2 linked regions of the Danio rerio genome follow. The protein of the gene in region 1 interacts with the protein of each later gene in a pairwise test. Links are inferred from orthologs where the notes say so. Each region holds a gene or a part of one and is shown on either strand. Other genes may lie near its edges.

Region 1 (4,385 bases):
AAGAAAAAAAATTTTTGACAAAATTTGGGAGGTTTAAAAAAATATAACTTTTATATGCAACTTTAATATTCAACAAAACATAACTGTGTGCTCCTACTCCGTTCAGTTAGTAGTGACTGGTGCATAGTGCAAGCCGAGTGGGCCCACCCGTAAGAGGAGGGGAAAGAAAGTCCAAGGACAAATCTGACTCGCCTTCGTGTGCACACGCATTACGCAGCGCCTGCAGTTAAACTCACAGCACTTTATCATAACACTTATATCGATCTTTTTTTCCACAATTGACAGCAAGAACAAACACAGAAGCATTGTCTGATTGACAAGCAGCCCCTAAATATGTTCAAAAGGATTTAAAACACCAAATAGGACAAATTTATACCCCATTTCGTAAAAACATACTCTAACATTAAGTGCAGTGCAGTGTGTGGGTGAGAAGGAGGCAGTGTTTCGATGTGATCCAGTTATGTTTTGGTTCTGTGACTGCAGGTGTTGGTTGCTGTATGGTTAAAAATTATGACAGTTAAAGTAACCAGGTTAATTTCGATTTAAATTAACTAAAATAAAATAAAATATTAATATAATATTTTGGGAGTTTTATGTGCATTTCCGACAGCTTTTGAGCTGGAAAAATCAGCTTTACCTGGCAACACTGCCCCACATCATTAGGGCTGAATGGGCTGTATGCACAGCTAGTGTTTTTCAGCTAATGATGAACTTCTGATGACAGGTTTATGTGACTATTTTCAATTTCATAATTAATTCAAATATAATCAGTTTATTAGACTTAAGCATTCATTTGGTTGTTAATGCATAAAAAGAGACTGTTTAAACGCAGGTGCCTTCATTAGCAGCAGGCCAGCACAGATGCTCCATTGAAAATACTGGGGTAAAATTAATTTCCATATTTTAAAGACACGGTGTGGTAAAAATATAATTAAATGCAGTGCTTCTTTTTTGGTCGGATACCCATTTTATATCTTATCTCAGCTAGGCATTGAAGATCGTTGTTTTTTAAAGATATCAGATCTTTAACACTGCAATTTTGTATGGGATGAAAATTCACCAGAAGCCCTGGGGCTGACTGAAATTAAAAGTTTGTGTGCACATACCCCATCTGAGTAAACAGACAGTAGGTGCGTCCCAAATCACATACTTTTGCACTATTCTACGCCATTTTGTAGTAGAAATAGTGTAAGTAGTGCGTTCACACTGAAAACTCTAAAAATAATAAGTGCGCTCTAATTACTCGGATGATGCACTTATTCAACAGATAAAAGTAGGTGTGTAATGATGGACACTTCACGCAATTCACAGTCGCTGCCTTACTTATGGTAGCGGGAGGGGCGGAGCCATCGGAGGCACATGTTGGATATATTTATTTTGGATTATGAAAGCAAAATTCTCCTCTGAGAGAGATTATACCACCTCCCGATAGTGAATGAGGTTATACTCACGGCAGGTATTATGTGGTTGTTTGGTCATTTATTTGGAAACCGTCAAACTTCATCAGGGAAGCGGTTTGAATTTCTGCGTAGTGTTTCATTTGGGACGACACTACATACATATACTATGCTGTTGGAAGTGTAAGTGCATAAGTACATAGTGCATAAGTGCATAGTGTGCCATTTGGGACGCAGCTAGTGATTATCAAGTGCACTCATTCAGTCCCACAATGCACTGCAATAGTGTACACTTACAAGGTTGTGCATCTTGACAGAAGATGGCGCCCAGAGCTCATTCCAGTAGATCCATTTTAATTGCTGGTCCACTGTGGGTACAGCTAAATATCATGAAGCCATAATTTCTGATTCAAGTTGTTATTAAATAGTTTAATTTAGATTTACACATAGATAAATCTAATCAATACAGCTGGAGCTCCCAGATTACCAAATTTCACTCATTCAAGTGTGAAGGCTGTGCCAGGCTCTTGCTGTGCTAAAGATTTAGGTAAGGTTTTCAGTGTCAGTGGTTGCTAATATGATTTTCACTATTGAGAATTTGTAAACAATATTTTTTTGTTAAATATTATTAAGGAGAAAGTCCGACTGTGTGAATGTAAAACTAACTTTACCTCAATACGTCATAGCAACGTCATGTGGAACTCGCATCTGACGCTCTGCATCTGCAGTTGTTGATGGTAAGGAAGACTTTGACAGCTGAAGCTCACACGCATCACAATCAAACAAACACGCATAACACACCTCTTTCATGTAGACCAAATACATCGTTTCGGCAATCTCCAGAAATCCTTGTGCTTTTTCAATCTCATCTCTTCCCGCCCACAAAATGCCGAGCTGATTCTGTCAAAAACACAATCGTCATACGTCAACCAGCAAGAGAAGCACGTTTATTGAGTCATACCAGGCTTTTTAGAAAATAATAATCCATGTAGTGTGAATTTACCCGGACATGTATAAATAAGGAGACGTTCTCCCGTGTTGTGGTGCACTTGTCAATGAGCTTCATGCAGACCATGAGGTGCAGCTCTCCAGCCGACAGCTCCTCCGTCTCTATGTGGTTCACGCCGAGATGATATTGCAGCACCGCGAGCCTGGCCGCTCTCAGGCCGGCTGCAGAGTCTCCAGTGAACGTTTTCTCAAAACCATCCTCCGGCTCACCATCCGCCGTTTGGCTGGACTCACAGTCCGCTTCATCCCCAGCCTCGCCCTGCTCCTCGATTTCAATCTTTTTCAAAGAACAGTGGATTTCCTTCAGCAGATCTCTGGCTTTGTATTTCGATCGGAAAGGGTTATTCTCTGGGTCTTTTTTCGACTCTATTTCGGAAAGCTCTTGGGCAAGGCGAAATTTCTCGCACACGGCCCTCCACTCGATACTGTTGTTGGCAGCCATGTTTCCCTCTAGCAATAAATAGTGTTCACCAGCAGAGGTCAGTCCCGAGACACAAGCAACGCACAGCTAGTAGTTTTAGTTTACTTTAGTTACTTGTTTATTTAAAATATCATATTAGTTACTGATTCATTTAAAATAGCATATGAAATGATCTCATCATAAAGTCTCGATGTGACTAGTACTTATTATGTGTCTGTTATTATTGGCTGGATTTACTTTCCGACTCTCTGTTCTTTCCAGATTCTCTGGCTCCATCTACAGGTCAATGAAAGTCAGAGATGTAAACAAACAGGCTTCCTGTGGGGTGTGAGTTGTTGGCGGATGTGGCAGGTGAAGTACTTTATACATGGGCTTGTTCCAGTACCCACATTTGCGGTTTTTCCTCCGTGTGGTCAAAATATCTCAAGTGTAAAGTCCCCGTGTTACTTAGAAATAACAGATTCTGAACCATCTAAAACAAGTTGTCAGTAATCTAATTAAAGCAATGTCTAAATTACTTCCCTATACTGGGGGAAAATAGCCTAAATAAAATTCTCTTAACCATGTTCTGTAAAATGCAAATTATGTGGAAGTAACGTTGTTTCTTAATCTTTGTCACTTGAATGTTTTATTATGTTTAACTGTGTGTTTAAAAGTTTACTTATTCACCACCAAAGTAAGCCATGCTTTAAAGTGTATCCTTAACATTTAAGTAAACAACAGTAGTTTTTTGTTATTGTCTGTAGCCTATTGTGCCATAGATACACAGCAGCTATTGTGCCATAGATACACAGCACTCACAACATAAGTGACCTAAATTAAACACAGACCTCAGTACTTGGTACAACACACAATAATGAAACCGTCATGTTTTTTGCAGTGTGAAGGAGTTTTTTTTTCAATAGAAAATTAAGCCCATAAGTAACTACATATAAGAAAAAAGTAAATAATTGGAAATAATGAAAATGGCTTAATGTATGATTAGAACATCTTTGCTTAAAAGTATTTTTTTGATATTTAAATGAATCATTACAAACAGTGAAGTGATGCAACTGATGCCTGTAGGTTAGATGATAATGATAACTATCAAATCTATTCTGCATACTCCACATTCATATAACAGCTACATACTTTTTAACGTGTGCTTAAAATAAATACCTGCTAAAAAGTGTCATGAACCCCCTTCTTTCTAAAGTCTATGGTGGAGTGCTGTGAGCAGAAGGGAGGAGTGGGCAGAGCAGGGAAAAAAGAGGGGGTGTACAACTGTCAGTTGGCTCAATAACAATTCTGACACAAAACATGAGATGGCATGATTTTGTTGTTTACAAAGTTAAAATGCAAAAGAAATAAACAGTATTTAAATGCCCGGTTACATGTATGATATACTGTTTGTAATTTCATATAATATATCTACATAACCACAATTTGTTCTATTATTATAATCATGTTTATATAAACACTATGCATCCCAGAGATGGGTTGCGGCTGGAAGGGCATCCGCTGCGTTAAACATGTGTTGGATATGTTGATGGTTCATTTAGCTGTGGCGACCATAGATT
Region 2 (3,829 bases), on another chromosome or scaffold:
ACTGTATTGGAAGCATTGTTGGCTATTTTATGTCACAGTTTACTTTATTTTGCTATCCTCACTTATATAAATGAAATAGATCAGGGGTGTCAAACTCAACTCCTGGAGGGCCGAAGCCCTGCACAGTTGTTCCAACCCTGCTCCAACACACTTACTTGTAGGTTTCAAACAAGCCTGAAGGACTCAATTAGTTTGATCAGGTGTGTTTAATTAGGGTTGGAACTAAACTGTGCAGAGCTGCGGCCCTTTTGGAACCGAGTTTGACACCTGTGAAATAGATGATATAATTAAATTATTAAATAAAACGTTTATTTATCTGTATTAAATGATTTACATGGTTTCAATTGTTTACTTAATCCCATTGTCTTTTCAATAAAAAAACTTCAGTTCAAAATCCACTTTAGTTCAAATGTTAAAAACTGAGTTTGAAAGCCATTAATAGTTTGTTTTATGCACTGTTGGAACCAAAACTTCACTCCAGCCACTTTAGAGTAAACTTTAGTAACTTTAGTAACCACCCAAGCATCACCCACATGTACTTCAGACACCCATAAAAAGTGTTACAGGTGATAAAACTCAATCAAAAAAGATGTGAACTCAGACCTGGTAGGAACTGCTGAAGTGATAAAATAAGAATTAATAGGAAGAGGAACTCTCTTAACATTTGACACTTTGCACCAAAAAAGCTCATATAAGACCACAAAGCATTTAGTCTGACTCACAGCCAGAGCAAGAGCAAAAAATTGTCCTTTTGCATCCATGAAGTCATGGTAACTACCTATTAACTTCCTATATCACCCACAATGCAAAAATACCATACAATGTGATAAACTATACAAACAACTTCCCTTTTTTAAAGCCACAAGTGAGCAAGGTCACGGTGAACAGAAGCTTTTCTTTGCACAAGCATTAAACTGCTAGCATGAGAACCCCGATGAATCATATGAGCAAGTTTCTGATCAGCTTTGACGGGTTTTTACATCTGCTTAGATGACAAAAAACAGTGGCGAGCTGCTGCAGTCTAAAATTTCATGTCTGCAGAAATTTAAGCACAAGGAGCTGACAAGCTTTCAGCAAAGACAATCTCTCTTGGCAGACAGCAGAAGTAAACACAAAATGTCTGAAAGATTTCAGGAGTTAAAGCACAACTCTGGTTACAATCCCATGAAAATAAGACAAAAACTAAAAACTTTGACTATTTTATAACTGTTTTATACTGTGTACAATGTCGAGTGATCTGGTTTGCACTTGAATACATTATAATAATAATAAATATTATTTATTTATTATTTTTTTCCAGGGCCAGAAAAAAAAGGAAACAAAGTAAGACTTGTCAGACGAACAAAAATTGTAAGATATAAACTCACGAATCTGAAAGTGTGAATAGCGAGACCCAAAGAAATAAAATAAATATTTTTTGCTTGTCTAGAAAACACTTCTTGAATTAAGCATTTTTAAAAATGTTGACTAGAAATAAGAAAAAGTAAGAAAAGCATTTTTCCAGTGCAATGTTCCATGGTTAATATATATACCGGAATAATATATTATATTATATTATAAATATATACCGGAAAGGCGATTTCACACAGTTTTTGAATCCAGTCATCCAGTTCAGCTGTCTCAACAGCAAACACAAATGTTTTTTCAGTTGTCTCCACCAAAAAAGGCCCACAATCCCGTGGACAGCCTTCCACGTCAGCCTCCGAAACACGAATACAGTCGCTCATTTTTATCACCTGTAAAAAAAAAATAAAATAAAATAAATAAATAAAACTTAAGTTCAACACAGCTTGTTATCTTTTAGAATATTCCATACTGACCATTTAGCCTTTTTATAATAGTATATTAAAATAGTATATTGAATTTTGGCTTTCCATATTAATTCATTCATTCATTTTCTTTTCGGCTTCGGAGGAAAGCAATGCGAAAACAGGGAGAACATGCAAACTCCACACAGAAATGCCAACTGACCTAGCCGGGGATTGAACCAGAGACCTTCTTGCTGTAAGGCAATCGTGCTACCCACTGTGCCATTGTGACACCCATTTTCCTGGTATTATATTTCTTTTTGCTCATTTTGGCTTTCCATAATATTGTATTTTTTGTCCATTTTGTATTTTCATAATACTATATTGAATTTGGACCATTTTGGCCTTCCATAATATTATATTAAATTTTGGCCATTTTTGCTTTCCAAATTAGTATATTTTATTTTGGTCGTTTTGGCATTCCATAATAATATATTTTTTTGGCCATTTTGGCTTTCCATGATATTATATATTTTTCGCCATTTTGGCTTTCCATAATATTACATTTCATTTTATAATACATTATTTGGCTATTACTACTACTATCAATAATAGTATATTGAATTTGGGCCATTTTTGCCTTCCATAATATTATATTTTATTTTGGCCATTTTGGCTTTCTTAATAGTATATTTCATTTAATAGTATATTTTATTTTGACCATTTTGGCTTTCCTATATAGTCTTATTTATTTTGGCCATTTTGCCATCATGGTATATTGCATTTAGGTCATTTTGGCTTTCCATAATATTATATTTTATTTAATAACATATTTTTTGGCCATTTTGTCTTTCTATAATAGTACATTTCATTTAATAATATTTGTTTTTGCAAATTTGAAACATGACTCATAATTATCAAGAACTAATTATCATCCACATGCTTTCATTTTTGAAAATACTACAATTGTGAAAGTCCTTTTTTTTTTTTTGGTAGAAGGGATCATAGCAGAAATAGGCACATGTTTAATGGTACTTCCCACAAAATTTTGTTCTCCCACACGTAACGCATGACCCATAACTGGTTTGATTATTCATAAACCGTGGTAGATTTTGAATTACATCACTCTCCTCAAATACGCCACATCTTATGTGTTTTATTCTGGAAAATTTGAGCTCCACAGGCTGTCCTTTACCTTTTTGTTTTCATGTTTGCGGTTTGCTTTCTCCAGCGTGTTAGGGGTTCCATCTTTAATCTCGAAAAACTCAAGGCGAGAGATAGAGCAGGAGCTTTCTCGATACAACACAGACCAGACCTTTCGCCATTTCTGAAACAGAGAGAAGGTTGAGAGTCAACTTACATATTTTTTATATTTCAGAATGTTTACTATCAGACAGCTTTTGTTAAACTTATCCAAGCTACATAAATATAGTTGAAGTCAGAATAAGCCCCCCTGAGTTATTAGCCCCCTGTTTTTTTTTTTCCACAATTTCTGTTTAAAAGAGAGAATGTTTATTTTAAACAGATTAGTAAGCATAATAGTTTCAGTAACTCATTTCTTATGACTGATTTATTTTATTGTTGCCATGGTGACAGTAAATAATATTTTACTAGATATTTTTCAAGACACTTCTATACAGCTTAAAGTGACATTTAAAGTCTTAACTAGGTTAATTAGTTTAACTAGGCAGGTTAGGGTAATTGGGCAAGTTATTGTATAACGATGGTTTGTTCTGTAGACTATCGAAAAAATATATAGCTTAAAAGGGGTAATAATTTTGACCTTAAAATTAAAAACTGCTTTTGTTCTAGCCAAAATAAAACAAAAAAGACTTTCTCCGGAAGAAAAAATATATATTTATCAGACATACTGTGAAAATTTCCTTGCTCTGTTAAACAATGTTTGGTAAATATTTAAATATTTAAATAATAAATTAATGTTGTGACAAAATTTCTAATGCTACATGTGTTAAAATTAAGGACTGTAAAATAAAATATATGTTGTAACCTAAATTAAAACATAGTAAAATTAGTCCACAAAATAGTCATGTAAAATTATTTAAATTAAAAGTAAAAAAAAA

What was found.
Region 2: the proteins of kifbp (region 1) and dok2 interact in a two-hybrid assay, tested with the Homo sapiens proteins (2 studies listed by BioGRID and IntAct). The two-hybrid records come from large-scale screens. The link is inferred for Danio rerio from reciprocal best matches to the Homo sapiens genes KIFBP and DOK2.

Annotation. Positions count from the first base shown.
Region 1 is NC_133188.1:26,245,679-26,250,063, forward strand, and holds the start of kifbp (KIF-binding protein), read right to left. Parts: upstream 2,861-4,385; 5' UTR 2,848-2,860; coding exon of another isoform or gene 2,401-2,847; intron 2,298-2,400; coding exon of another isoform or gene 2,199-2,297; intron 2,120-2,198; 5' UTR 2,069-2,119; intron 1-2,068. UniProt on the Homo sapiens protein: Activator of KIF1B plus-end-directed microtubule motor activity. Required for organization of axonal microtubules, and axonal outgrowth and maintenance during peripheral and central nervous system development.
Region 2 is NC_133183.1:51,030,141-51,033,969, forward strand, and holds part of dok2 (docking protein 2), read right to left. Parts: intron 3,076-3,829; coding exon 2,944-3,075; intron 1,737-2,943; coding exon 1,569-1,736; intron 1-1,568. UniProt on the Homo sapiens protein: DOK proteins are enzymatically inert adaptor or scaffolding proteins. They provide a docking platform for the assembly of multimolecular signaling complexes. DOK2 may modulate the cellular proliferation induced by IL-4, as well as IL-2 and IL-3.